Saccharomyces cerevisiae S288C: one gene and its partners. The protein of the gene in region 1 interacts with the protein of each later gene in a biochemical or structural test. Each region holds a gene or a part of one and is shown on either strand. Other genes may lie near its edges. The genes, in order: SCH9, CST6, MAF1 and TOR1.

Region 1 (8,136 bases):
CTCTACCGATAATAAAACAAAGCGACTTGAAGCAGCTCCAAATCCTAGAGAAGGAAGATACGATGCCATTGCGCTAACGAAACCACATGGATCCTCCACACAACCACTTAGTTTGGCAAATCCCAAGACCAAGAGGAACTTTCCTCACCATTCGGGGCAGGTGACGAAGCAAGAGCGAAGCTGGATTCTACGCTGGATTAGTGAAGCGCCAGCGAGGAATGCTAGAAAGACCAGCCCAGGAACAATAGAAAATTACGCGGTAGGATAATCTCCTTGACGGAAAAACGCTGTGTGACACTGACTAGCCTGAAAAAATAGAAAAAAAGGAGATGCGCCCTGCAAAAAGCGCAATAACGCGCACACAAAATGTCTGGGTGAAATGTATGGATGCATAATTGTCTCGAAAATAATTGTTTAAAGAGAATAACCATAAAACAGGCTGAAAAGCAAGCACTGCTCAATGTTAGTTTCACTGGCGACTCTATCTCACCATGGTTACACTATTAGTACATTTGGTATAGACTGATAGGTTTCCGTTGTGCTTTAACGACGGGTAACGATTTATTTCTGGCGTGTTTCAGCGACTATTAATAATAAGCAATAAAGAAGGACGCGTTTTTGAATATGTATTAATGGGTCAAGAGTAACCATGATAATTTCATATTTCCATGGATTGGTTACATTCAGGGAAATAGAATGGTTTGCTGCTTATGGGTGCTTCTAGCATTGTTGCTTCATCTCGATCATGTAGCATGCGAAGACGATGCGTACTCATTCACTTCTAAAGAACTTAAGGCTTACAAGCAGGAAGTGAAGGAGCTGTTTTATTTCGGCTTCGACAATTATTTAGAGCATGGGTATCCATATGATGAGGTAAAACCCATTTCATGCGTTCCTAAGAAGAGAAACTTTGAAGATCCTACTGATCAAGGCACCAACGATATATTGGGCAATTTTACAATCACTTTAATAGATTCTTTAACCACTATTGCTATACTGGAAGACCGGCCGCAGTTTTTGAAAGCTGTTCGACTTGTTGAAAGGACATTTCCTGATGGCAATTTCGATATTGATTCCACAATACAAGTTTTTGAAATTACTATACGTGTTATCGGATCACTACTATCATCACATCTTTATGCTACGGATCCCACAAAGGCAGTGTATTTAGGGGACGATTATGATGGCTCACTGTTACGTCTCGCCCAGAATATGGCAGATAGGCTCTTACCTGCATATTTAACGTCTACCGGATTACCTATGCCACGGAGAAACATCAAACGAAAATGGGATGTCTCTGAATTTCCAGAATTTTTGGAGACAGAGAATAATGTGGCCGCTATGGCGTCTCCCATGTTCGAATTCACTATTTTATCTTACTTGACAGGCGATCCCAAGTATGAGAAAGTTACCAGATACGCATTTGATAAAACATGGTCTCTTAGAACTGGTTTGGATTTGCTACCCATGTCCTTTCACCCCGAAAAACTAACACCATATACGCCCATGACTGGAATCGGCGCCTCCATCGACTCCCTTTTCGAATACGCTTTGAAAGGTGCTATTTTATTTGATGATTCAGAATTAATGGAAGTTTGGAACGTAGCATACGAGGCATTAAAGACTAACTGTAAAAACGATTGGTTTTTTGCTAATGTAATGGCTGACACAGGGCATTTGTTTGTTCCCTGGATTGATTCTTTGAGTGCTTTTTTCTCCGGTTTACAGGTGCTTGCTGGTGATTTGGATGATGCCATAGCGAACCATTTAATGTTTTTAAAAATGTGGAACACCTTTGGCGGTATTCCTGAAAGGTGGAACTTTAGTCCTCCGGAGTTTCCCCCACTATCTCCATTAGAGCGATCGGGAGCTGTTGCTTTGGATAATATCCTCCCCTTAGAATGGTACCCATTAAGACCGGAATTTTTTGAGTCAACCTATTTCTTATATAGAGCTACAAAAGACCCGTTTTACTTAAATATTGGGGTACATCTGCTAAAAGACCTCAAGCAACGATTTAAGTCTAACTGCGGATTTGCAGGTTTCCAAAATGTAATCACGGGCGAACTGCAAGATAGAATGGAAACATTTGTGTTGAGTGAAACTTTGAAATACCTGTATTTATTATTTGATGAAGAGAACGAATTACATAACAGCGCTAGTGACGTAATTTTCAGTACAGAAGCCCATCCAATGTGGTTGCCCCAAGAAGTGAGGTCCAACTATAAACGTAACGCTAAATTTAACAACTCTGTCTACTCGTCGCACTTGGAAATTTGCCAGAAAAAGGACAGGGAACAAGCTGGAGAGAACACATTGAGCCAAAGAATTGTGGGGTTCGCCAAATCGATCTTTCATAAAGGTCCACCAGACGAAGAGGCTACTGATCCAATTATAGACTATACCATTGATACTGAACTTCCCGGTACATGCTCTATAAAGCCTCATCATGTAATTGGTGACGAATTTTGGTATTCTCCAATGTTGAGCAATTTTGACAGATTATTCGAGATTGACTCCCGGTTCGCTGCCACGCTAATTAAACCTTCACACATGCATAACTATAATGCAATTGAACTAGAACCTGGATTTTATAACAGGTGGTCCAATCCGCAATTTAGCACGTGCCTGATCCCACCCACCACCGAAATTTTCGAACTACTATTCGACCTTCCTGGATATCATCAGTTGAATCCATTAATGTTAGAAAACAAAACTATTACATTTGAAACCTTTGGAGGTAGGTCAAGGTTGAAGATCGAAAAATTGCAAATCTACCAAATTGATTACTATGGAGACTTAATCACTGCATCGACATTCCAAGACGTCTCCCGCAAGGATATTTTCTCGAATGCATGCGATGCAGTGGCAAGCTTGTATTCTCCCACTTATCTTTACAGAGTAGTAGCCATCAACGGACGCATATTGCCTCGCCATGGAAGTGTACAAATCAAGAAACATAGTCCTGTGCTCACTTCCAATGGCACAAGAGAGGAAGACGAATTCAAAATGGATGGCATCGGGATTAATGACCATTCCCAACTCATGTTAGAATGCACGCCCATCATCAACTTATTTATTGTATGAAATCACTCTTTTAGATAGACCTCTACAGCTTTTACATAATGGCACCAGTAATAAATGATGAACGATTTCGTTACCCTCGGTAAAACCGGCCAAAAAAAAAAAAAAAAAAAAAAAAAAATGTTCTCAAAGTGTAAACTTAATCAAAAGCTTATTTGTTTGTTATCTGTTTCTCATCGGTTTCGTTTGTTGCTTAAAGGGTGGATCGGTCATTTACGATAACGGTTCTTTCTGCATATTCCGATCCTTAAAGGCTTACTTATTCACATTACGGGTCCAATATAACATAGATTGTTGTGCTCAGCTCATCCATTTCGCTGGTCGCTTATATTCTCTTTTTTGTTTTATTCTTTTCTTTCCTTCAAGGTTCTTTGCAACAGCACTGAAAATAGTTACAAACAACTTTGCGCCAGTTCCCGCCTGCTTATTCTTTTTCCAGCTCTCTTCTACTTTATATACCCTTTTCGTGGTCCTTTTTCCTAATTTGCCCCTCTTCGCTTTTTATCGAAAATTTTACCCACTCTCACATAATCACCTAAGGGCATCTATTTAATAAGGTACAGTCAAAAATTTACTCTTTTGGCAACTGTTTATAAGAAGAATAAGTCTGAGAATTATACTCGTATAAGCAAGAAATAAAGATACGAATATACAATATGATGAATTTTTTTACATCAAAATCGTCGAATCAGGATACTGGATTTAGCTCTCAACACCAACATCCAAATGGACAGAACAATGGAAACAATAATAGCAGCACCGCTGGCAACGACAACGGATACCCATGTAAACTGGTGTCCAGTGGGCCCTGCGCTTCATCAAATAATGGTGCCCTTTTTACGAATTTTACTTTACAAACTGCAACGCCGACCACCGCTATTAGTCAGGACTTATATGCAATGGGCACAACAGGAATAACATCAGAAAATGCCCTTTTTCAAATGAAGTCAATGAATAATGGAATATCATCAGTTAATAATAACAACAGCAACACCCCTACGATTATTACCACGTCACAGGAAGAAACTAATGCTGGAAATGTACATGGCGATACCGGTGGCAATTCTTTGCAAAATTCTGAAGATGACAACTTTTCTTCCAGTTCTACCACCAAATGCTTACTCTCTTCCACTTCTTCGCTATCAATAAATCAACGAGAAGCAGCAGCAGCTGCTTATGGTCCAGATACCGATATTCCTAGGGGTAAACTAGAAGTTACAATAATAGAAGCACGTGACCTAGTCACTAGATCAAAGGATTCACAGCCTTATGTTGTTTGTACTTTTGAGAGTTCAGAGTTCATTTCTAATGGTCCTGAGTCACTAGGCGCCATTAATAATAACAACAATAACAACAACAATAATCAGCATAATCAAAACCAGCATATTAACAACAACAACGAAAATACCAACCCTGACGCTGCTAGCCAGCATCATAATAATAACAGTGGTTGGAACGGTTCTCAGTTACCATCGATAAAAGAGCACTTGAAGAAAAAACCCCTTTATACACACAGATCATCTTCCCAATTAGATCAGCTAAACTCTTGCTCTTCAGTAACCGATCCGAGCAAACGTTCTTCTAATTCTTCGTCGGGTTCTTCAAATGGTCCAAAGAATGATAGTTCACATCCAATATGGCATCACAAGACAACGTTTGATGTTTTGGGATCTCACTCGGAATTAGATATTTCTGTTTATGATGCTGCCCACGACCATATGTTCTTAGGCCAAGTTAGACTGTATCCAATGATTCATAATTTAGCACATGCTTCCCAACACCAATGGCACAGTTTGAAACCTCGCGTTATTGATGAAGTTGTGTCCGGTGATATTTTAATCAAATGGACTTACAAACAGACAAAGAAAAGACATTATGGCCCACAAGATTTTGAAGTTCTTCGATTATTGGGTAAGGGTACTTTTGGCCAAGTCTACCAAGTTAAGAAGAAAGACACTCAAAGAATTTATGCAATGAAAGTTCTCTCCAAGAAAGTTATTGTCAAGAAAAATGAGATCGCCCACACAATTGGCGAAAGAAATATCCTAGTCACGACAGCGTCCAAATCGTCCCCATTCATTGTCGGATTGAAGTTTTCCTTTCAAACACCAACAGATCTGTATTTGGTCACTGATTATATGAGTGGTGGAGAATTATTCTGGCATTTACAAAAGGAGGGCCGTTTTTCGGAAGACAGAGCGAAATTCTATATCGCTGAGTTAGTCCTAGCGTTAGAACATTTACACGATAACGATATCGTTTACAGGGACCTAAAGCCTGAAAACATTCTACTCGATGCCAACGGTAACATCGCTCTTTGCGATTTTGGTCTTTCTAAAGCTGACTTGAAGGATAGAACAAACACATTTTGCGGCACCACGGAATACCTGGCACCAGAATTGTTACTGGACGAAACCGGCTACACCAAAATGGTCGATTTCTGGTCTCTAGGTGTTTTGATATTTGAAATGTGTTGTGGTTGGTCCCCTTTCTTTGCGGAAAATAATCAAAAAATGTACCAAAAAATTGCCTTTGGTAAAGTCAAATTCCCCAGAGACGTACTGTCACAAGAGGGGAGGTCTTTTGTAAAGGGTTTACTAAACAGAAACCCCAAACATAGACTCGGTGCCATTGATGATGGAAGAGAACTACGAGCTCATCCATTTTTCGCAGATATCGACTGGGAGGCCTTGAAGCAGAAAAAAATTCCACCACCTTTCAAACCTCACCTAGTCTCGGAGACGGATACCTCGAATTTTGACCCAGAGTTCACAACAGCTTCAACTTCATACATGAACAAGCACCAGCCGATGATGACTGCTACCCCGCTATCTCCAGCCATGCAAGCAAAGTTTGCTGGTTTCACCTTTGTTGATGAGTCCGCCATCGATGAACACGTTAATAACAACAGAAAATTCCTACAAAACTCGTACTTTATGGAACCTGGTTCCTTTATCCCGGGAAATCCAAACTTACCTCCAGACGAAGATGTCATCGATGATGACGGGGACGAGGACATCAATGATGGATTCAACCAAGAGAAAAATATGAACAACAGCCATTCGCAGATGGACTTCGACGGCGACCAACACATGGATGACGAATTTGTCAGTGGAAGATTCGAAATATGATTTCTCAATCGCTCCTCTTGCCCTTCCTCTTCTTTTCCTTTTCTTTTTATTTTTTTCTAATTTTTCTATCTTTTATTTCTACTTCTATTATTAATTTGTATCTTCTAATCGTTTTTCCCACTTTATCGAAACATTTCTTCTATTTATATATGTAAAGTATGTATGTATTTTCGTTTTATTTAAACTCCAAAAAATGAATAATTGTTCCTGCAAATTTCTAGTTTATCACGTCTCATAATCACTGCTTATACCTCACCATTCCATTGTACTTTGACATATTTACCCCTCATCTATATATAATCAGGGCTTAAGTAAACGCTTCGCTGTGATTTCCCAAAGTCGGTTCGGAAATTATAGGTCGGTTATATCATCCGAAAAAAAAAAAAAAAAAGTTTTTCTTAAATGCATAGGTTTAAAGTCGATTAAAAGTAGGGCTAACACAAGTATAAGCAGGGTTTTGCTATAATAGGGATGCCATAAGTGAGGGCAGGGCTCATCGATGCGCGTACATGGATTTTCCGAAATTCTGAATTTTTTCTTTCTTTAACTATGAGCAAAATGTGGTCAGCTTTACTGAGCTTAACTGTCATCCCATCGAATGTGACAAGATTGAAAGTGCTTCCAGGATCTGAAACATTTGTCAAAGTTTTACTAACATTACACAGATATCCCTGGTCACCTTACTATCTTCCAACATCTTACCTAGGCTTGCTGCTTTTGTTTGGGTCATATATTTAACTCGCTCATTAGAGGACATTCTGTTTTTTCCAAGACCAACAAAAAAGCAACGAAATTGCTGTATTATTAAAGGACTGTTATAGAAGTTTTTTTATCCTCTCTTTGTTTCCATTATTCTTATTCCTATTTTTTCGTTGCTTACTTTTGATATCCACTATGAGCTTTTCCACCATAAATAGCAACGTCAATAAAACCACCGGCGATAGCAATAATAACACCACCGAGAACAGTTCGACTGCAGACCTTTTAGGAATGGACTTGTTGCAGAGCGGGCCTCGACTGATGAACACGATGCAGCCAAACAACTCTTCTGACATGCTGCACATTAACAACAAGACTAATAACGTTCAACAACCAGCTGGAAACACAAATATCAGCAGTGCTAATGCGGGAGCAAAGGCTCCAGCAAATGAGTTCGTAAGAAAACTGTTCAGGATACTGGAAAACAATGAATATCCTGACATTGTAACTTGGACTGAGAACGGCAAAAGTTTCGTCGTTTTGGACACAGGAAAGTTCACTACGCATATATTGCCTAATCACTTCAAACATTCAAATTTTGCATCTTTTGTAAGGCAACTAAACAAGTATGACTTTCACAAGGTTAAGAGAAGTCCCGAGGAAAGACAGAGATGTAAATATGGCGAACAAAGTTGGGAGTTTCAGCATCCAGAATTTAGAGTCCATTACGGAAAAGGTCTCGATAACATCAAAAGGAAAATTCCGGCGCAAAGGAAAGTGCTTTTGGATGAATCTCAAAAGGCTCTTTTGCATTTCAATAGTGAAGGCACTAACCCCAACAATCCTTCTGGGTCTCTTTTGAATGAATCCACCACAGAGCTGTTGTTAAGCAATACCGTAAGTAAAGATGCATTTGGAAATCTAAGAAGGCGAGTAGACAAACTACAAAAGGAGTTGGATATGTCCAAAATGGAGAGTTATGCTACTAAAGTAGAACTACAAAAGTTGAACTCGAAATACAATACGGTTATCGAAAGTTTGATAACATTCAAGACCATAAATGAAAATTTACTCAACAACTTCAACACTCTGTGTTCCACTTTGGCAAATAATGGTATTGAAGTGCCAATATTTGGCGACAATGGAAACCGTAACCCAACTGGTAATACCAACCCAGCAACAACAACAGCTATCCAAAGCAACAACAACACCAACAATGCTT
Region 2 (4,943 bases), on another chromosome or scaffold:
ATAAACATTTAAGCGGCAACGATGAAATTATTGACCTTATTGACAATCTTTTGAGATATGATCATCAAGAAAGATTAACTGCTAAGGAAGCGATGGGACACCCGTGGTTTGCCCCAATAAGGGAACAAATTGAAAAATAAGAAATAAATAATGAATGAAATAAAAAAAAAAAAATCACTGACAAACGATATAACGATTACTTTTTTTTACCATCTGTACAATTGTACTTAATTCTAATAGATTTAAAAAACTAAATACAGGTTTAAAGGGCTTCCTCCATACAACAGAGGCAAGGAGGACTAAGGGGTTGACACGAGCAAATTTCATACATGCAAAATAATAATGTCTTAAAGGTAATTTATACCATAAATGTAGTAACTAAACGAAATAATAACGGCAGAAAAGAAAGGATGCAGCTCGAGTATTTATACACGTATATTACATATATAGTTGTCCTTATCATTCTTGAATGAAACACCGTTGTGCTCACCAAAACTTTGTTATTTTATCTTTTCAGAATTGGGTAATGATTGGTTGTCTGGATCCTTACCACCTTCTACGGGCTTGAGATCTATATCGTCATCGTCAGTATCGCTTCCGAAACGTTGAGAGTATGGCTCGTGCTTGATGGCTATGATCTTACCAGTATCTTTATCCACTTCTGTAACGTCTGAATCGATCATTAAAAGTTCTTCAATGATCTTTAATGAATCCACAGTCATGCTTTCATTTTTGTTGCTACTATTAGTGCCATTAACATTATTATCTGAGTCTTTATTTAGTTTTTCATGTTCACGTAAATGAATTTTGGAGAATTTCTTGAATTTAGAGATTAGTTTTTCATAGTAATTTAACTTTTTCAGTAAAATTCTATTCTCGTCTTTAATTTCGTTAAATTCCTTTTGGAGCTGCAGCTGCGCAACCTTTTTCCTTTGTCTACATTTCGAAGCTGCAATTCGATTTCTTTCTAACAATCTTGCTCTCTTCCATGCCGTAGTACCAGGGATTGGATTTCCCTGTGTGTTCGCCGCTAAATTTAAATGAGATCCTTGAGATTTTGGAGTGAAGCTAGGATTAGAGTGAGATTCCCTAAGTGCAGATTTGCCCCTATTTTCACCTCCAGTAGTTGGCGCAAACGTCGTCATGCCTTCCAAATCACTTATACTCTCCGCTGGAGTATTCTTTGATGGCGCGTTTACAAAATTTCGCTGCTGACTTTTCGAGTAAATAACGCTCTGATCACCCAATGCGGAGTCCTTCGTGGGATTAATAACTTTTTTTGCATTGTATTGTGGAATACTACTAACCGGCACTGCTTGGTTGAAGACCGGCTTGTTTGATACATTCCTAGTTTGGCTCAGACCATTATAATTGTGAAAATTGGGCATCGGGGGCGGCTGTGTGTTGTGCAGGTTTTCCAAAGTTTCAATATCTTCGCCTAGCTGGCTTATTTGACCGTTAGAGATTGATATTCTTCTTCTTCTAATTGGCTCATCGCATCCAGGCAAAGAACTTTGGAAAATTGGTGGATTCGTCATAGGTAAATGTGCTACATCAACACCAAAAGGTTGAAAAAATGGCGACAATGTTTCCAGGATGGATGGATCGTTCAAGGCATGTGGGTTGTTATTCATATTCATGTTCATGAAATACATCTGCTTGTTCACAGAAGCCGTATTGGCGATGTTGGACGCATTAGTCGGGGCTGTAGTAGAATCATTCGGAGCGGACTTACGGGTAGACGACAGTTGGCTCAGATTTGTATGAGTGGCCAGATTCTGATGCATATCCTGTACGACACCAGAATTCATCAGAATATCACCGTAGAGTTGGGATTCCTCTTCAGTTTTCATAGAGGGTGACTGTTGTCGCTGATCCTGCTGTTGCTGTTGTCGAAGGTATGCAGCCTGCTGATAGTTTGAATTGGCGCTGGGTTTAACAACCCGATCATGCGAATTGACGTTTCCAGCTGCAATAGAATATTGTGGGGTTAAAGAATTTCTATTGGAAGTAGTATAATCATGTATTTGGTCAACCACACCAGCCATATTTGTGCTATAGTTTATGTCAGTAGGATCTAAGGATCTACTTAAAGCAGAATTGTTCATAGTAGAAGTGGTGGTGGCGGCGGCAGAAGTATCACTAACAGAGTGCGGTATCTTATTATTCAAGATCTTTGATGTGTCATCAATACCACGTTTATTGTTGTCTTTTTGCTTGTTGGAATTAGAGTCTACGGAATGATACTCCTGACCAGTAAACATTATCCTACCAAAAAGGTGTGGGCTTATACTTTTTTCTTTACTACTTTAGATCTTTTTAGATCCTTTTGAATCTTCCAATTGAAAGACTGCTTTAAAAGCGAGTTTTTGATTTAGAAACACCAACAGATACGTATACACGATAACCTCTATAGCGGTTCTATTTCTGTTAACAAGAAGGTACTTGAAAGTGATAACTCAAAAAACAAGAGTACAATATGAAAATCTTTTGCCTTCATTGTCATTGTCATTGAATCCCCGATTATCATTGTCAGCAATTTCGGAGAAGGGGGCAACTATGTTCCGTGTAAGGTGATATTACTCAAATGTGTCACAATTTCAACTTCTGGGAATAATATTTATAATAGTTGAGATTATTCTTGATTATAGAGGCGACAGCTTATCTTAATTTTCGCCAATAGGTTTGGAAGAACATTGGTATTTTCATTCGGTGCAGCATTTTAATTCAGAATTATAACCGTCCTTGTACGGTTATAACAGCACATTATTGAAAAATGTTTTAAAAATGTTTCAGCCCAGTAATAAAACATTTACATATGCTATCTTGGCCCTTTATATAACATGTAAAGCAAAAAACTAGAACACTAACATGGCTTAAGTAGCTGAAAATCTACACCACTTTTCGATAAAACTAAGAGTACGGCAAAGATGAACAATGTACACATAATTAAACCTTTATCACTTCCACAGAGGTTTTTTAGTTGTATTTTCCATCCTCTATTACTGATATTCTTTACTTCTGTTATTTTAACTATTTGGGGTTCCTTTTCAGTCATTGACATTACAATGGCAAAAATGTCTCACGCACAGGTCAAACGAAATGATACCGTCTCAACCTTTGCATCTATTTCAACTGCTACAGCGACAGCCACAACAACGGCCACAACAACGGCCACAATGACAGCAGTCACAACACAGCATGCCATATATTCTGCCAACAGTTACTCTTTAAATAAAACATTCATTGATAATACAATTGATCAGTATTTCGAAAGCAAACTACGGAGTATTGAATCTACGGTAGGTACGGATATGCAAGAAAAATTCAAGTCATACACAGACGACATACTGGATAATAAACAAAAACTTATCAACGACCAAATAAGTTTGGAAACTGAATTGATTAAGGAAGTTCTTGAGGTAAACAATACAATTTTTAACGAACTACTCACTAAATCACAGCTGATAAATGACACATGGAATGAAATATCAGAAGACGCAATGACCATTGATAAGGATTCCATTTCACAAATGGCATCAAACCTACTGTTAAATTACTCCATGTTTGACAGTATTTTTGGGAACTACTCAAGGAAATTGAAATCATTGCAGAACTTCAATGGCACTATCACTGACTTTTCTACTCAATTAGATACCTCTAGTACCTTAAGTTTGAATTTTCTACGAAATTCCACTGACTGGCTTCAGTTGAAAAGGAACTTTACTGCAAACTTACAGAATGAAATTTCCATTTTATCTGGGGGGAGTACCGAGGTTACATCGTCTACTTCAATAATTAAACGGTCTCTGAAAACAAATAGCGAGGAAAACAGTGTACTAAGTGCAGTAAAAAATCACGTTTTCCGTAAATGTAAGAGAATGACAATAATTTTCACAGTCATGTACTTTGCATTTGTGATTTTGCTCATGGCAATCGAAAGAATTCTGTTTCAGCTGGAAAATCAGCAAGTAAACCTGGTTATGTCCCAAATTAATGGCCTGACAGGACAAACCAATTTTACTAAATACAACAAAGTTTTGAAAAGCTTAATTACTACTCTGAATCTCAGTACACTTTATCCAATTCCCTACCAATTAACAAAGCTTATCAATCAAAAAATATTTAAAAGAGAACCAGAAAAAATCGATGACAAAAAAGTCAAAAAATCAAAACTATTTTACTGTAACTGGTGGATAATCTCAAATGGGGCTCACCTGTGGCTGTTTGGTTTTTTGATGTTATTAATTCATTGGCAGATAGTGACGCGATTAACAAACTTTGAAGTACCCAGTTTGCCTACATTCCACAAAAGAGCGGGACCTTCGCTATACAAAAGGGAAGTTTGGACAGATGGAAATATAACAACTACGATAGAGGGTTTCATTAATGACAGCGTATCATTATTGTGTGAAAATTTCCAAATGGAAGTGAATGAAAAGTTCATTACAGCAAATTTAAGCCTTCAAACTGACCCCAATTTGAAAGTGCAATCAACGGACATCCTAAATCTTTGGGTTAACGACACAAACACTCAGTTTGAAAAATATCTTAATGAGAGTTCTCAAAATTGGCAGGGGATAGACCTGCAGGTTGAGCCTCTGTTAGGCAGCGATTCAATTAATGAGTTCCTGGGTCAGTATTTCCTACCGACATACGAAGTTACGAATACAAATTCTTCATTTGCACTGGACATTCAAAAATATGGTATAATTAATCGAGGAATTAATATAACCAACGCATCGGTAGCGGCATTGTCTTCACTGTCAAAACGCCAAATAAAGGATAAGGAGCAAAAACAAACGTACTTTTTACACACTGTTTATAAGTGGGGACTTTTAGCAGTTTGCCTGACTATATTGTTCCACCACATGCTTATATTTATAATATTAAAGTTGTAAGTATCGTATTATCGTCACCTTCCACGAGCGGTCTCGCAATTT
Region 3 (7,063 bases), on another chromosome or scaffold:
AAAGAAGTACAGAAGTTTTCGTTTCTTTGAAAGTCGCGATTATTCCGAGTTGTGTATTATAGTAGGAACATACTATTGATTTAGGTTTGAGAGCTGGTAGTATCGACGTCCAGAACAGTCAATTCATCGGAACGCTTTCGACTCGGTCCACGGAAAAGCCATTCAACGATTTATACGGACGGTGATTTTGATTAGTCTAATTGCCTATATATTATAAATATATTCTTCCTTTACCTATTTCTTCTCACACATTATCCTCTAAGTAACATGAGAATTCAGATGCCGGTTAATCTTCGGCTTTTTCGCGTTGAATTCAAAAAATGAAAATGATGAACAACCACTGGGAATTCACCATTTTTCAAAGTGTGTAAATTCATGCCTAGGGCCTTATCAATAAAATTTGACAATACGTATATGGACCTTTACGATGAATTACCGGAAAGTAAACTCCTTTATGATGAAGAATTTTCATATCTTTTGGATGCAGTAAGGCAAAATGGTGTCTGCGTCGTAGATTTTTTAACACTCACTCCGAAGGAATTGGCAAGGCTAATACAAAGGTCGATAAATGAGGTTTTCAGATTTCAGCAATTGCTTGTTCATGAATATAATGAAAAGTACTTAGAAATCTGTGAAAAAAACTCTATCAGCCCAGATAACGGTCCTGAGTGTTTCACGACTGCTGATGTAGCTATGGATGAATTATTAGGTGGAGGCATATTCACGCATGGCATTACAGAAATATTCGGAGAGAGCTCTACTGGTAAATCTCAATTACTTATGCAGTTGGCGTTAAGTGTCCAACTTTCCGAACCTGCGGGAGGGCTTGGCGGCAAATGTGTATATATTACCACTGAGGGCGATTTACCAACTCAGAGATTGGAAAGTATGCTATCGTCTAGGCCGGCTTATGAAAAACTAGGTATTACACAATCAAATATTTTCACCGTCAGCTGTAACGACCTAATAAATCAGGAACACATAATCAATGTTCAGTTGCCTATTTTATTAGAGAGATCTAAGGGTTCAATAAAATTGGTGATAATAGATTCGATTTCTCATCATTTGAGGGTGGAGCTTCAGAACAAGTCCTTCAGAGAATCCCAAGAAAATAAAAACTATCTGGATAGGATGGCAGAGAAGCTCCAAATACTGGCCCACGATTATTCATTATCCGTTGTGGTGGCTAATCAAGTTGGGGATAAACCACTGGCTAACAGTCCAGTGGCACATAGGACATATGTAACTGATTATGATTATCAGCTAGGGTGGCTAGTTGGCTGGAAGAACTCAACCATTCTTTATCGGCAGATGAATTCGCTGCTTGGAGCAAGTTCCAATAACGATGAAATTCTATCAGACGATGAAGATTATATGCTAATCGAGAGAGTTATGAGCACTGTAAATGACCGGAATTATGATTTTTTTTCAAAAAAGAAACCACCCATAATTGAGAATAAAACCGTTGAGCGAAATTCATCAAGTCCTATCAGTCGACAAAGTAAGAAACGGAAATTTGACTATCGTGTCCCCAATCTCGGTTTGACTTGGTCCAATCACGTTTCAACACGAATATTACTTCAAAAATCTTTCAAGGCTTCAACAATAATTCAAAGAGGTGAAGCTCATCTTTATAAGGGAGGTGATTCGGCAAGCTTCTGGCAAGTTAAGAGGACAATGAAAGTGGTATATTCCACATTCGCTAAGCCTGGTCAAATTGCATATCAAATTACTAAGCGAGGAATAGAAACAGCCTGATTGAAGTTCCGTATTCGAAAGAAACTAAGAGCTTTGCAGTAATATATGATGAAGGCAGTCTTTTTATATAGTAGCGCACATTATTCAATCCTCGCTAAAGTGTTCAATTAGTAAATATAATATTGTCATAAAGGTACATAGTTGAAAAGGGTATTTTTTTAAAAATAGAAACTTACAATAGTAGACATAAAGGGACTGTTTTTAACGATTATAGGTGTAAGACAAGGAAAATTCACAAATTAAAGTTTAAAACTACTGTAGGGATTCTTCTTGATCTGATTTATCATCTATTACATTCTCATCATAAGTGAAATCGTATTCTCCTTCGTATTCATTTGAGCCATCATCTATTATAAGCTTTCCCTGAGGTTTTTTTGCCAAGGCATCTTCCACTTCGCCTGTACTCGAATTTAGACGCGAGCAAATCAAGTAAAGGTAAGCCACTCTTTTCCTTTTCCTGTTGTAAAGAAAACCTATAAGATTCCAAAGATAGCCAGGCTCATCTTCCAAAAAAGAGTTTGAAGGTGAATATTGAAAAAGGACGCAATCAGAAAGAGTCATGTGAGAATTAATTACCTCCCAGACCCATTCCTCTGGTTGTCTACCAAGAGAATATAAGGTGTTTTCAAATTTGGAAATAAAAGTTTTCAATGATGTTTTGACAAAATCCGTTGGCTCAACCGATGAAAAATCATGGTCAGGATAAGAAGCGTTGAGGATAGCAATCAGATAAGCAAATATTTTGCGGCTTGACGGTTCGTTTATGGGACCAAACGGACCCAAACTTAAATTGCTTGGCCTTTCGTTTATCGAAGATTTTCTTCTTTTGTTAACATTGTTGGTTGCTGTACCAGAACTGTAATTATTGTTCGATGATTTACCACTTTTGAAACTGCTAATACTGCTACTGCTCCTTCTTCTTATCCTCTCATCATTCTTAGAAGAAGAATCAAGAGACGATGAGCTCATAGAGCCAGAATCGTAATTCGAGACTAATTCTTTTAAATTTTGGTCATTTAGCTTGGCACTTTTGGGAAAAGTTGCTGGAGAAGAACCATTAGGTCCAGAATAGTTATTGTTATTACTGCTATTGCCATTACTGTTGTTAGTGTTATTATTGCTATTGTATTCACTAAAAGATATTCTTCTCTTTTGCTCCCAAAAAGAGTTGCTATCCCTCCTATTAGAATAAAATGGCGACGAGCAGGGTGATTGGTTTGTTTCGGGAGCAGCTAGCTGTTGCTGAAGGGTAGCATTGTAATTCTCATTTTCCTGTAAAATAGTATCCAAATGCTGATCAATAGTTTTATATAATTTTCTATCTGATGCAACCGCCTTTGTTGTGAAAATATCGCAACTGCCCACGATTTTACAGTCATTTGTCTCGAAATTGAGAGTTTGATTCACTCTCTCTATATCTAGCTCATCAATAAACTAAGGAAGAAAAGGAGGGTTCAGGTACAATGTTAGTAATTTCGAATAAAGAGCATGGCAGTTTTAGAGTGATAACATACTTTCATTGTCGTGATTCTTTAGGCAAAAAAATCCGTTTGGAGTAATGAGCGGTTAAACTTGTTCTTGGTGAAGTGTGCAGAGTTTCTAAACTTTAAGTAAATGACACTAAGCCTATATTTTTCGCATTGCTAAAGAAACACTGATACATAATGTGTCTACATTTTATATAGCTGATAGCACGTTCTTTTTAAGTTGAATTATCTTTTTTTTCTCTTGTTAAATAAGATGGACAACGCGCTTTCGCTGGCGAGATGAAGCGCCCCTGATTGACAAGCAACTCGTGGAGGCAAGTAATTAGCGACGCTTTACTTTGTCTGATAGCAGTAAATATGTGACTGCATTTAAGAAGTGAAATTATAAGAAATGTACGCTTTAAAAATGATATATGAAGTTACATAAAGAAATGGTAAAAAAATTTTTTTTTCCTCCATTACCGATAATAGTTATATTCCTTTTTTATTAACTTTATCTCCTAACATTTCGATATAATGAGGACCGAATACGGACCAATGAAGGTTGATTAATGCATATAAGTGGCGATAAACATTCTCGAATTCCTCCAGCTCTGTTGCTGCGAATAAACCTCTGGATGCAATCGCATTGCCAGTAGGTGTGGTGGTGGAGGTTTTAGAAGGAGACATCAAAGACGGGCTGATTTTAACGCTAGCAGTATCTGTAGTAGTACTCAAAGTGTTAGTGCTACCTACGTTGCCATTGTTTGTGTTGTAGAGGTACACAAAGTCTTGTTTAACGCGTCCATCAATTGTGCACTCGGACCTGTTGAAGATAGCGTCCTCTAGTGATTTGAATACTCTATTTTCTAGGACACCATAAACTTCACTGAGGGGTTGAGTTTGCTTAGATAACCAAGATTTAGCAAAGGTTATTTTTGAGTTGTCTAATGAAGGCAATTGAGGCCTTCTGGCTTGTTCACAACTACCATTGTTGTCGTACTCCCTGTGAAGATCGTCAATAACTTTGCAAAGATGAACAGCAATAGACATTGTGTTTTTAGTCCACCTACAATTGCCGTGTTCATCTGTTATAATGCTGATAATTTCATTCTTCAGCCTTTTAGTTGAGTATGTATGAATAACATATTCCTTTGTAGCTTTATCCATTGAAGGATCGTTGGCCACCAATTGTTGGAAAAGTAAACGGCAAACTAAAATACAAACAATTTGACGTATATCGGCACGCAAAAGGATCAATCTTGCATGATCAAAAGAAAGCGGAGTTGGGTACTCTCTCACCATCTTCCTACATGACAATAGGTTAATTATACTTCTAATGCAAATATTGTAGACATCAGGGATAGTGATAGAACTTGGATTTCTAACAAGGCCAGCGGTAACATTTTCGTTGAATTTTTTATCAAACCAAAGTAGGGAAGTATTTAAATTCACCCTTTTAGAGGCTATAAGAGTGTTGAAATACTGTTTCTCAAATTCTACAGCATTACTTAACAGAGCTGGCCTTAGTATTCTTATTTGATGATTGGCAATATCCAATTTCATTGTTTCCAAAATTTGAAAAACCAACCTTAAACCTTCTATTAACCTTGTTAAAGAAGAGTCTCTTTCAGCTTCTTTAAATTTGTTGCTCATTTTATCCACCCATGGGTCCCTCATGGGGGCACAATGATGTTTAAATAAATCAGCCAACCAGCCTGACAAGTTAGACATTATCAGAGAACCTTTCAATAGTTCTTGAATGTTCAATTCTGTGTCCAGTACATTATTTATCATCGGAGACTCTTTTTGTGGGACTATCGTTAACAATACATCCCTTAAAGTGTCAAAAAGTGGGACTAGTCTTGACCTGTTATATTGGAATATTTCAGGCCTCTTAGAGTAAACATAAATTTCATTTTGAACATCATTCCAATAGATATTCGCCAATTGTCTTTTTTTATTCCCTCTTTCGCCATCAAGATTTGGCCTGAATTGTAGTAGCGGGTCGAATATTATATCATGTCTTAGTTGTGGGTTTTTCAGAATTTCCTGTAAGTCAATCTCTTTTAAGCCCTGCAAATTTATAGGAGGAAATGGAACAGGCGTTGGAGTAGCCTTTATGTAGTTTATTCTATCTTCCAAAGTTAAGTCAAAGTTTGAGCTTGATAGGAAGCTTTGATTTGTCATTGAAGTGGCAGTGGAATTATTAATGTTGTCATTATTAGCGTTAGTGCTTGCGTTACCTGATATTTGTTGATTTAAAAAAATTGCGCGCTTTAATGAAAGAGGGTTTGAACTGAGAGGATTATTAGAATGCAAATATGGTTGATGATGGTTTCTAGAAAATTTTTTCTTTGATATGCCGGAAGGAGTTGGATGATTTAAAAGAATATTTTGATTACGATAGTATTGATTGTGGGATGATAATTTTCTTAAAGAAGAATGCAAAATAGTGGGTACGGAATGCGACCTCATTTTTTTATTTGAAAAGATCCTTAAAAAGTTAGAAGCATTTCCTGGTGGCTGTTGTTGTGCTGCTTGTTCTTTGTGTGGTTCCGTTGCTGGTGGCAATTGCGGCGCGGATGCAGACGGTGGTTGCTTTGACGACGGTGGTGGGGAGGGAGATGGATTGTTGATATTAGTATAAATATTCTTTGGGGGTATCGAATCAACTTTATTGTTCCTCCTTATTTCTTCTTCATTATCATCGTTTTTCAAGAATTGACCAGTCTTGGTGTCGAACGTCTTGAATATAGTATTGTCCCTGTCTATAGGGATCTTCAAATCACTACTATTAGCTGAATTGCCACTGCTATCGTTGTTAGTGGCGTTAGTGCTTGCATTCAAAGACATGGAGGGCGTTATTACGCCGGAGCTCCTCGACAGCAGATCTGATGACTGGTCAATATATTTTTGCATTGAGGCTCTGTTTGGAATTATATTTTGAGATGACCCATCTAATGTACTGGTATCACCAGATTTCATGTCGTTTTTTAAAGCGGCTGCTTGAGTCTTAGCAATAGCGTCACCATCTGGTGAATCCTTTGAAGGAACCACTGACGAAGGTTTGGACAGTGACGAAGAGGATCTTTCCTGCTTTGAATTAGTCGCGCTGGGAGCAGATGACGAGTTGGTGGAGCTGGGGGCAGGATTGCTGGCCGTCGTGGGTCCTGAATGGGTCCTTGGCTGGTCCATCTCTATTCTGAAAACGGAAGAGGAGTAGGGAATATTACTGGCTGAAAATAAGTCTTGAATGAACGTATACGCGTATATTTCTACCAATCTCTCAACACTGAGTAATGGTAGTTATAAGAAAGAGACCGAGTTAGGGACAGTTAGAGGCGGTGGAGATATTCCTTATGGCATGTCTGGCGATGATAAAACTTTTCAAACGGCAGCCCCGATCTAAAAGAGCTGACAGGGAAATGGTCAGAAAAAGAAACGTGCACCCGCCCGTCTGGACGCGCCGCTCACCCGCACGGCAGAGACCAATCAGTAAAAATCAACGGTTAACGACATTACTATATATATAATATAGGAAGCATTTAATAGAACAGCATCGTAATATATGTGTACTTTGCAGTTATGACGCCAGATGGCAGTAGTGGAAGATATTCTTTATTGAAAAATAGCTTGTCACCTTACGTACAATCTTGATCCGGAGCTTTTCTTTTTTTGCCGATTAAGAATTCGGTCGAAAAAAGAAAAGGAGAGGGCCAAGAGGGAGGGCATTGGTGACTATTGAGCACGTGAGTATACGTGATTAAGCACACAAAGGCAGCTTGGAGTATGTCTGTTATTAATTTCACAGGTAGTTCTGGTCCATTGGTGAAAGT
Region 4 (11,298 bases), on another chromosome or scaffold:
ACGCCATTGTGGCACAAGACGAGATGGGTAGACCCTTTATTATCGTGAAGGATCAAGGTAACAAGAAGAGACAGCACGGATTAGAGGCCAAGAAATCACATATATTGGCTGCTAGATCAGTAGCTTCTATTATCAAAACTTCGTTGGGTCCCCGTGGGTTAGATAAGATCTTGATTTCACCTGACGGTGAAATCACCATCACTAACGATGGTGCTACAATTTTGTCCCAAATGGAGCTAGATAATGAGATTGCAAAGTTGTTAGTACAACTTTCCAAATCTCAAGATGATGAAATTGGTGATGGTACTACTGGTGTTGTTGTTCTGGCAAGTGCGCTACTTGACCAAGCATTGGAGTTAATTCAAAAGGGTATACATCCAATCAAAATCGCTAATGGATTTGATGAAGCCGCCAAATTAGCCATTTCCAAGTTAGAAGAAACATGTGACGACATTTCTGCGTCAAACGATGAATTGTTCAGGGACTTTTTATTGAGGGCCGCCAAAACTTCTTTGGGCTCCAAAATTGTTTCCAAGGATCATGATAGATTTGCTGAAATGGCTGTGGAAGCCGTCATAAATGTCATGGACAAAGATCGTAAAGACGTGGATTTCGATTTAATCAAAATGCAAGGACGGGTTGGCGGATCTATAAGCGATTCAAAATTGATTAATGGTGTCATTTTGGATAAAGATTTTTCTCATCCACAAATGCCTAAATGTGTTTTACCAAAAGAGGGCTCTGATGGTGTTAAGTTAGCTATATTAACGTGTCCATTTGAACCTCCTAAACCAAAGACCAAGCATAAATTAGACATTTCTTCAGTAGAAGAATACCAAAAATTACAGACTTATGAACAAGATAAGTTCAAAGAAATGATAGACGATGTGAAGAAAGCGGGCGCAGATGTTGTTATATGCCAATGGGGGTTTGACGATGAGGCCAATCATCTACTTCTACAGAATGATTTACCTGCCGTAAGATGGGTAGGTGGCCAAGAACTAGAACACATTGCCATTTCCACAAACGGTCGCATTGTTCCAAGATTTCAAGACTTGTCTAAGGATAAATTAGGTACATGTTCCAGAATTTACGAGCAGGAGTTTGGTACTACTAAGGATCGTATGCTGATTATCGAGCAAAGTAAAGAAACAAAAACTGTAACATGTTTTGTTCGCGGTTCCAATAAAATGATCGTGGATGAAGCTGAACGTGCATTGCATGACTCACTATGTGTGGTACGTAACTTGGTTAAAGACTCACGTGTAGTTTACGGTGGGGGAGCAGCCGAAGTGACTATGTCCCTGGCTGTCTCTGAGGAAGCTGATAAGCAACGTGGTATTGATCAGTATGCATTCCGTGGATTCGCCCAAGCGTTAGACACCATTCCAATGACTTTGGCTGAAAATTCTGGTCTTGATCCAATCGGAACTTTGTCTACATTGAAAAGTAAACAACTGAAAGAAAAGATTTCCAACATTGGTGTCGATTGCTTAGGTTACGGGTCTAATGACATGAAGGAACTATTTGTCGTTGATCCATTTATTGGCAAAAAGCAGCAAATTCTTTTAGCTACTCAATTATGTAGAATGATTTTAAAGATTGATAACGTCATCATTAGTGGTAAAGATGAGTATTGATTTTGTATAAATAAATAATAAAAGATAAGTTTTAATCACATATCCCACAATTTTTTTTCTCAGATCAGCATTTGGGGTTACTTGATTGTACATATACGTGTATATAATCAGTTGTATACGTATATTTAAATGAAGTGAGGGGCGTTTCAGTTATTTGCATTTGTTTTTGTACCTTTTTCCTTATAAGATGAGTCATGACTCAATAATCAAACCATGTTGAAAAGGCTGAAATTTCTAACAATTTCCGGACCATATTCCTCATAATCTTTCTTAGTGTGACAGTAGCCTTTGAATTCGGCTGTTTGTGCCAGCAGCGAGCCACCAAACCAGACAGCGTTTCTCTGCTTCCGATGAGAAATCACGGAAACATCTACACCAGTCGATTTAGTTCCACTTAACAGCTCACTTTGTGCGATTCTGTTATTTACGATAGACTTTAGATCTCTTTGTAAACGACGTCCAAAATCTTTGAACATGGTAGACCCACCTGATAGTACAATATTGTTGTATAAACCTTTACGGACGTCAATAGGGCAAGCCTGGATAGTTTGATCCACTACCGTGGGTAAAGGAGTCAAGAAGTCTGAGGATGCAATTTCTGGATTGAAGAAGATTTCAGGTGCTAAGAATCTTTCGTAACCAATATCTACGACTTTTCTCCTTGTCTTTTCTTGGTTTTCCACCACAAATTGGGCAAATTTAGAAGGATCTTTATCGAATTTGTTAAACTCCTTTACAATATCTGGACAGACGTAACAGTATTCTTGCTTAATCTTTTCGGCAGTTCTCAAGGAAGTGTCTGCTTCACCACGTTCTCTTAGCAAGGATTGGATGAACAATGTGATGTCTCTACCGGCTATTGGAATGTTTTTAATTGCTGAGCCAATGACGTAACCTTCCGCCACTGGGATGACGTGGGTGACACCATCACCAGAATCTATAACAGTACCAGTTAATGATCTATCCGTGACTTTTGAAGAGGTCCATGACGCAGCCAGAGCCAAAACTGCTTGCACAGCAATATATAGACCAGCACAATTAAATGATTCAAAAAAAATCTCCGCCACTTGCTCTCTGTTTTCTGGAGGATTCAGTGGTGGTTCGGTCAATAGGAAAAAATGATCTTCAGGCTCTGTTCTTAAATACTTGAAGATGGAATTTTCCCAGAATCTTTCCATGTGATCCCAATTTTCCACTTGACCGTGTCTGATTGGATAGCTCAAAGAGTAAGAGGGTCCTTGGGATGCTACTAAAGCCTCATTTCCAATATAGAAATCCAAATCTTCTGTACCTCTTTTACCGGATAAATTATTAGACAGCAAACCACCTGTTGCACCATTGAAATTGGTTGCAGAGGTGGAATTTCCAAAGTATGATGCTTCATTACTAACTGCTGAGGGCGCACCAACGCCCGAGGACTTCTTTGTATTTGAAGGTGCAGCTGTGGCTATTGCAGTAGGGAAGACCCAGGAGGGAGAATCATTACCGGCGAAACCGAGCTTGGTCAGCCCGGTACCATTGTCCATGACAACAGCGGGATTGTTTAAGTATGACATTGAATCCTAATTTCTTGCTCAATCGTGAGGCCTTACGGTAGGGCCAATTCTTGATTAAACTACTCTCATATATTTTTGTTTGAAACTTTTGAAAAGGGGTTCTCGCCATTTTGAAGCCGCGGACAGCCGGGTGACTACTGAAAGTCCTTATCGAAGGGTCTTCTTGAGCTTACGTTAAAAAAGAGCCATAGTAGCTTCACGAGAGAGTCATTGGTAAAGTGAAACATACATCAACCGGCTAGCAGGTTTGCATTGATATGGAACCGCATGAGGAGCAGATTTGGAAGAGTAAACTTTTGAAAGCGGCTAACAACGATATGGACATGGATAGAAATGTGCCGTTGGCACCGAATCTGAATGTGAATATGAACATGAAAATGAATGCGAGCAGGAACGGGGATGAATTCGGTCTGACTTCTAGTAGGTTTGATGGAGTGGTGATTGGCAGTAATGGGGATGTAAATTTTAAGCCCATTTTGGAGAAAATTTTCCGCGAATTAACCAGTGATTACAAGGAGGAACGAAAATTGGCCAGTATTTCATTATTTGATCTACTAGTATCCTTGGAACATGAATTGTCGATAGAAGAGTTCCAAGCAGTTTCAAATGACATAAACAATAAGATTTTGGAGCTGGTCCATACAAAAAAAACGAGCACTAGGGTAGGGGCTGTTCTATCCATAGACACTTTGATTTCATTCTACGCATATACTGAAAGGTTGCCTAACGAAACTTCACGACTGGCTGGTTACCTTCGAGGGCTAATACCTTCTAATGATGTAGAGGTCATGAGACTCGCTGCAAAGACTCTGGGCAAGTTAGCCGTTCCAGGAGGTACATATACCTCTGATTTCGTGGAATTTGAGATAAAGTCTTGCTTAGAATGGCTTACTGCCTCCACGGAAAAGAATTCATTCTCGAGTTCGAAGCCAGACCATGCTAAACATGCTGCGCTTCTGATTATAACAGCGTTGGCAGAGAATTGTCCTTATTTACTCTACCAATACTTGAATTCCATACTAGATAACATTTGGAGAGCACTAAGAGACCCACATTTGGTGATCAGAATTGATGCGTCCATTACATTGGCCAAATGTCTTTCCACCCTACGAAATAGGGATCCTCAGTTAACTAGCCAGTGGGTGCAGAGATTGGCTACAAGTTGTGAATACGGATTTCAAGTAAACACATTAGAATGCATCCATGCAAGTTTGTTGGTTTATAAGGAAATCTTGTTTTTGAAGGATCCCTTTTTGAATCAAGTGTTCGACCAAATGTGTCTAAATTGCATAGCTTATGAAAATCATAAAGCGAAAATGATTAGAGAAAAGATTTACCAGATTGTTCCCCTATTAGCATCGTTCAATCCTCAATTATTTGCTGGCAAATATTTGCACCAAATTATGGACAACTATTTAGAGATTTTAACCAATGCTCCAGCAAATAAAATACCACATCTCAAAGATGACAAACCACAGATTTTAATATCGATTGGTGATATTGCATATGAAGTCGGGCCCGATATCGCACCTTATGTGAAACAAATTCTTGATTATATTGAACATGATTTACAGACGAAATTCAAATTCAGAAAGAAATTTGAAAATGAAATTTTCTACTGCATCGGAAGATTGGCAGTTCCCTTGGGCCCCGTTCTAGGTAAATTATTAAACAGAAATATACTGGACCTGATGTTCAAATGCCCTCTTTCCGACTATATGCAGGAAACGTTTCAAATTCTGACTGAGAGAATACCATCACTAGGCCCCAAAATAAATGACGAGTTGCTTAACCTAGTCTGTTCAACCTTATCTGGAACACCATTTATCCAGCCAGGGTCACCAATGGAGATACCATCGTTTTCGAGAGAAAGAGCAAGAGAATGGAGAAATAAAAACATCCTACAGAAAACTGGTGAAAGTAACGATGATAATAATGATATAAAAATCATTATACAAGCTTTTAGAATGTTAAAAAATATCAAAAGCAGATTTTCGTTGGTGGAATTCGTGAGAATTGTTGCACTTTCTTACATTGAGCATACAGATCCCAGAGTAAGGAAACTAGCTGCGTTGACATCTTGTGAAATTTACGTCAAGGATAACATCTGCAAACAAACATCACTACACTCTCTGAACACTGTATCTGAAGTGTTATCAAAGCTTCTAGCCATTACGATTGCGGACCCTTTACAAGATATCCGTTTAGAAGTTTTAAAGAATCTTAATCCATGTTTCGATCCCCAGTTGGCACAACCAGATAATTTGAGACTCTTGTTTACTGCACTGCACGATGAGTCGTTCAATATTCAGTCAGTAGCAATGGAGCTTGTCGGTAGGTTGTCTTCCGTAAACCCTGCATACGTCATCCCATCGATAAGAAAAATACTACTGGAACTGCTAACAAAATTAAAATTCTCAACTTCTTCTCGAGAAAAGGAAGAAACTGCCAGTTTGTTATGTACTCTTATCAGGTCGAGTAAAGATGTTGCGAAACCTTATATCGAACCTCTTTTAAATGTTCTTTTACCAAAATTCCAAGATACCTCTTCAACGGTTGCATCAACTGCACTGAGAACTATAGGTGAGCTATCTGTTGTAGGGGGCGAAGATATGAAGATATATCTTAAGGATTTGTTTCCTTTAATTATCAAAACATTTCAGGATCAATCAAACTCTTTCAAGAGAGAAGCTGCACTTAAGGCCCTTGGTCAACTTGCAGCCTCATCTGGTTACGTGATAGATCCTTTACTCGACTATCCCGAATTATTGGGTATATTGGTGAATATATTGAAGACAGAAAACTCTCAAAATATTAGGAGACAAACAGTCACTTTGATAGGTATACTGGGAGCTATCGACCCATATCGCCAAAAAGAACGTGAGGTTACCTCTACTACCGATATATCTACAGAACAGAACGCCCCGCCTATCGACATTGCTCTTCTCATGCAGGGCATGTCTCCTTCGAATGATGAGTATTATACCACTGTTGTCATTCACTGCCTGCTAAAAATCCTAAAAGATCCATCCCTATCATCTTACCACACTGCCGTGATCCAAGCGATTATGCATATTTTTCAAACCCTTGGTCTAAAATGTGTTTCATTCTTGGACCAGATCATCCCAACTATTTTGGACGTAATGCGTACATGCTCTCAGTCACTATTAGAATTTTACTTCCAACAGCTTTGCTCTTTGATTATTATCGTAAGGCAACACATAAGACCTCATGTCGATTCTATATTCCAGGCTATCAAAGATTTTTCTTCGGTTGCTAAGCTACAAATAACGCTTGTAAGTGTTATTGAAGCAATATCAAAGGCTCTGGAGGGTGAATTCAAAAGATTGGTCCCTCTTACTCTGACCTTGTTCCTTGTAATTTTGGAGAATGACAAGTCTAGTGACAAGGTCCTCTCCAGAAGGGTATTGAGACTGTTAGAATCGTTTGGTCCTAACTTAGAAGGTTATTCGCATTTGATTACACCCAAGATAGTTCAAATGGCAGAATTCACCAGCGGGAACCTACAAAGGTCTGCAATAATTACTATTGGCAAACTGGCCAAGGATGTTGACCTTTTTGAGATGTCCTCAAGAATTGTTCACTCTTTACTTAGGGTACTAAGTTCAACAACGAGTGACGAACTCTCAAAAGTCATTATGAATACTTTAAGTCTACTGCTAATACAAATGGGCACATCCTTTGCTATCTTCATCCCTGTCATTAATGAAGTTTTAATGAAGAAACATATTCAACACACAATATATGATGACTTGACAAACAGAATATTAAACAATGATGTTTTACCCACAAAAATTCTTGAAGCAAATACAACGGATTATAAGCCCGCGGAACAAATGGAGGCAGCAGATGCTGGGGTCGCAAAATTACCTATAAACCAATCAGTTTTGAAAAGTGCATGGAATTCTAGCCAACAAAGAACTAAAGAAGATTGGCAGGAATGGAGCAAACGTCTATCCATTCAATTATTAAAAGAGTCACCCTCCCATGCTCTAAGAGCTTGTTCAAATCTTGCAAGCATGTATTATCCACTAGCCAAAGAACTTTTTAATACCGCATTCGCATGTGTTTGGACCGAACTTTATAGCCAATATCAAGAAGATTTAATTGGGTCATTATGTATAGCCTTATCTTCTCCCTTAAATCCACCAGAAATACATCAAACATTGTTAAACCTGGTAGAATTTATGGAACACGATGACAAGGCATTACCAATACCAACTCAAAGCCTGGGCGAGTATGCTGAAAGATGTCACGCCTATGCCAAAGCGCTACATTATAAAGAGATTAAATTTATTAAAGAGCCTGAGAACTCAACTATTGAATCATTGATCAGCATTAACAACCAGCTGAATCAAACGGATGCTGCAATTGGTATATTAAAGCATGCCCAACAACATCATTCACTTCAATTAAAGGAGACATGGTTTGAAAAATTAGAGCGTTGGGAAGATGCACTACATGCTTATAATGAACGTGAAAAGGCAGGTGATACTTCCGTGAGCGTTACACTCGGTAAGATGAGATCCCTTCATGCCCTTGGCGAATGGGAACAGTTGTCGCAATTGGCAGCTAGAAAGTGGAAAGTTTCGAAGCTACAAACTAAGAAGCTAATAGCTCCCTTGGCAGCTGGTGCTGCGTGGGGGTTGGGAGAGTGGGATATGCTTGAGCAATATATCAGCGTTATGAAACCTAAATCTCCAGATAAGGAATTTTTTGATGCAATTTTATACTTGCACAAGAATGATTACGACAATGCTAGTAAGCATATATTAAACGCCAGAGATTTGCTTGTGACTGAAATTTCCGCGTTGATCAATGAAAGTTATAATAGAGCATATAGCGTTATTGTTAGAACTCAAATAATAACAGAGTTTGAGGAAATCATCAAGTATAAACAATTGCCACCTAATTCCGAGAAAAAACTTCACTATCAAAATCTTTGGACAAAAAGACTGCTGGGCTGCCAAAAAAATGTCGATTTATGGCAAAGAGTGCTTAGAGTAAGATCATTGGTAATAAAGCCCAAGCAAGACCTGCAAATATGGATAAAATTTGCAAATTTGTGCAGAAAATCTGGTAGAATGAGGCTAGCAAATAAGGCATTGAATATGCTACTAGAAGGAGGCAACGATCCTAGTTTACCAAATACGTTCAAAGCTCCTCCCCCAGTTGTTTACGCGCAACTAAAATATATTTGGGCTACAGGAGCTTATAAAGAAGCATTAAACCACTTGATAGGATTTACATCCAGGTTAGCGCATGATCTTGGTTTGGATCCGAATAATATGATCGCGCAAAGTGTCAAACTCTCAAGTGCAAGTACTGCTCCGTATGTTGAGGAATACACAAAATTATTAGCTCGATGTTTTTTAAAGCAAGGTGAGTGGAGAATAGCAACACAACCGAACTGGAGAAACACAAATCCGGATGCAATTCTTGGTTCTTATCTATTGGCTACACATTTCGATAAAAATTGGTACAAGGCATGGCATAATTGGGCCTTAGCTAATTTTGAAGTAATATCCATGGTTCAGGAAGAGACTAAGCTCAACGGAGGTAAGAATGATGATGATGATGACACGGCAGTTAATAATGATAATGTGCGGATTGACGGTAGTATCCTAGGAAGTGGTTCTTTGACTATTAATGGCAACAGATACCCGCTAGAGCTTATTCAAAGACATGTTGTTCCAGCGATCAAGGGCTTTTTTCATTCAATATCTCTATTAGAAACAAGTTGTTTGCAAGACACGTTGAGGTTATTGACTCTTTTATTTAACTTTGGTGGTATTAAAGAAGTCTCACAAGCCATGTATGAAGGCTTCAATTTGATGAAAATAGAGAACTGGCTTGAAGTCTTACCACAGTTGATCTCTCGTATACATCAGCCAGATCCTACGGTGAGTAATTCCCTTTTGTCGTTGCTTTCTGATTTAGGGAAAGCTCATCCACAAGCTCTCGTGTATCCTTTAACTGTCGCGATCAAGTCTGAATCTGTTTCAAGACAAAAAGCGGCTCTTTCAATAATAGAGAAAATTAGGATTCATAGTCCAGTCCTGGTAAACCAGGCAGAATTAGTTAGTCACGAGTTGATCAGAGTAGCCGTTCTATGGCACGAATTATGGTATGAAGGACTGGAAGATGCGAGCCGCCAATTTTTCGTTGAACATAACATAGAAAAAATGTTTTCTACTTTAGAACCTTTACATAAACACTTAGGCAATGAGCCTCAAACGTTAAGTGAGGTATCGTTTCAGAAATCATTTGGTAGAGATTTGAACGATGCCTACGAATGGTTGAATAACTACAAAAAGTCAAAAGACATCAATAATTTGAACCAAGCTTGGGATATTTATTATAACGTCTTCAGAAAAATAACACGTCAAATACCACAGTTACAAACCTTAGACTTACAGCATGTTTCTCCCCAGCTTCTGGCTACTCATGATCTCGAATTGGCTGTTCCTGGGACATATTTCCCAGGAAAACCTACCATTAGAATAGCGAAGTTTGAGCCATTATTTTCTGTGATCTCTTCGAAGCAAAGGCCAAGAAAATTCTCCATCAAGGGTAGCGACGGTAAAGATTATAAATACGTTTTAAAGGGACATGAAGATATAAGACAAGATAGCCTTGTTATGCAATTATTTGGTCTAGTTAACACTTTGTTGAAGAATGATTCAGAGTGTTTCAAGAGACATTTGGATATCCAACAATACCCGGCTATTCCATTGTCGCCTAAATCTGGTTTACTAGGATGGGTACCAAATAGTGACACATTCCACGTTTTGATCAGAGAACACCGTGATGCCAAAAAAATTCCGTTGAACATTGAACATTGGGTTATGTTACAAATGGCCCCCGATTATGAGAATTTGACTCTTTTACAAAAAATTGAAGTATTCACGTACGCTTTAGATAATACAAAAGGCCAAGACCTTTATAAAATATTATGGTTAAAGAGTAGGTCGTCAGAGACATGGCTAGAACGTAGAACAACTTATACGAGATCTTTAGCAGTTATGTCCATGACTGGTTATATTCTGGGACTAGGTGATCGCCATCCAAGCAACCTGATGCTAGATAGAATCACCGGTAAAGTTATCCACATTGATTTCGGCGATTGTTTTGAAGCTGCCATCTTAAGAGAAAAGTATCCAGAAAAAGTGCCATTTAGACTAACTAGGATGTTAACATACGCAATGGAAGTTAGTGGAATTGAAGGCAGTTTCCGAATTACTTGTGAAAATGTCATGAGAGTCTTAAGAGATAATAAAGAATCATTAATGGCGATCTTGGAAGCTTTTGCGCTTGATCCTTTGATCCATTGGGGATTTGATTTACCGCCACAAAAACTTACTGAGCAAACTGGAATTCCTTTGCCGTTGATTAATCCTAGTGAATTATTAAGGAAGGGGGCAATTACTGTCGAAGAAGCGGCAAATATGGAAGCAGAACAACAAAATGAGACCAAAAACGCCAGAGCAATGCTTGTTTTGAGACGTATTACAGATAAATTAACGGGCAATGATATCAAGAGGTTCAATGAATTAGACGTCCCTGAGCAGGTTGATAAACTGATCCAACAAGCCACTTCTATTGAAAGGTTATGTCAACATTATATTGGATGGTGCCCATTCTGGTGACTGCGGTGTCATTTTTCATTTCGTGCTTTGTTTACTATTTATTTTTTTTGTATTACGCATTTGTATACGTGTGCAAGTATTGTGTATTATTATTATTATTATCATTATTTTTGTAATATCTCGTCATTATGTGAAATGAAGGATGATATAAGGTACATAAATTGTGAAATCAACTCCATTTAAAACAACTTTATTGGATAGATGGCACATGGTACTTTTCACAATAGGTATTGGCAATATCAGTCCATTTTGTTATGAGCGGATGTTTTTCTTGCAAGTCAAAGTTTGGATCAAATATGGACTTACTAAGTACTTTGTTAATGCGTAATTCTTTTTGAGCATCAATATATGCCTTACTGAGGTCCTCATCTTCATCACCAAAACGTGTTCGTAGGCCAAGTAAAATCCCCATAATTATGCCAACTTGTTTCC

Evidence for each region.
Region 2: the proteins of SCH9 (region 1) and CST6 form a complex in vitro, tested with the Saccharomyces cerevisiae proteins (one study listed by BioGRID).
Region 3: of the proteins of SCH9 (region 1) and MAF1, one has a biochemical effect on the other in vitro, tested with the Saccharomyces cerevisiae proteins (5 studies listed by BioGRID).
Region 4: of the proteins of SCH9 (region 1) and TOR1, one has a biochemical effect on the other in vitro, tested with the Saccharomyces cerevisiae proteins (6 studies listed by BioGRID).

Annotation. Positions count from the first base shown.
Region 1 is NC_001140.6:505,623-513,758, forward strand, and holds SCH9 (serine/threonine protein kinase SCH9), read left to right. Parts: upstream 1-3,740; coding exon 3,741-6,215; downstream 6,216-8,136. Other genes in the region: alpha-1,2-mannosidase MNL1, read left to right, coding at 697-3,087; kinase-regulated stress-responsive transcription factor SKN7, read left to right, coding at 7,110-8,136. UniProt on the Saccharomyces cerevisiae protein: Protein kinase that is part of growth control pathway which is at least partially redundant with the cAMP pathway. Regulates both BCY1 phosphorylation and MPK1 activity.
Region 2 is NC_001141.2:282,987-287,929, reverse strand, and holds CST6 (Cst6p), read right to left. Parts: upstream 2,265-4,943; coding exon 501-2,264; downstream 1-500. Other genes in the region: casein kinase 2 catalytic subunit CKA1, read left to right, coding at 1-140; pheromone-regulated protein PRM2, read left to right, coding at 2,931-4,901. UniProt on the Saccharomyces cerevisiae protein: Transcriptional activator of promoters containing ATF/CREB sites. Can independently stimulate transcription through ATF/CREB sites. Important for a variety of biological functions including growth on non-optimal carbon sources.
Region 3 is NC_001136.10:454,826-461,888, forward strand, and holds MAF1 (RNA polymerase III-inhibiting protein MAF1), read right to left. Parts: upstream 3,279-7,063; coding exon 3,273-3,278; intron 3,193-3,272; coding exon 2,011-3,192; downstream 1-2,010. Other genes in the region: YDR003W-A (uncharacterized protein), read left to right, coding at 1-79; putative DNA-dependent ATPase RAD57, read left to right, coding at 376-1,758; SOK1 (Sok1p), read right to left, coding at 3,717-6,422; phosphoribosylanthranilate isomerase TRP1, read left to right, coding at 7,017-7,063. UniProt on the Saccharomyces cerevisiae protein: Mediator of diverse signals that repress RNA polymerase III transcription. Inhibits the de novo assembly of TFIIIB onto DNA.
Region 4 is NC_001142.9:555,963-567,260, forward strand, and holds TOR1 (phosphatidylinositol kinase-related protein kinase TOR1), read left to right. Parts: upstream 1-3,453; coding exon 3,454-10,866; downstream 10,867-11,298. Other genes in the region: chaperonin-containing T-complex subunit CCT5, read left to right, coding at 1-1,640; ARP3 (actin-related protein 3), read right to left, coding at 1,847-3,196; YAE1 (Yae1p), read right to left, coding at 11,057-11,298.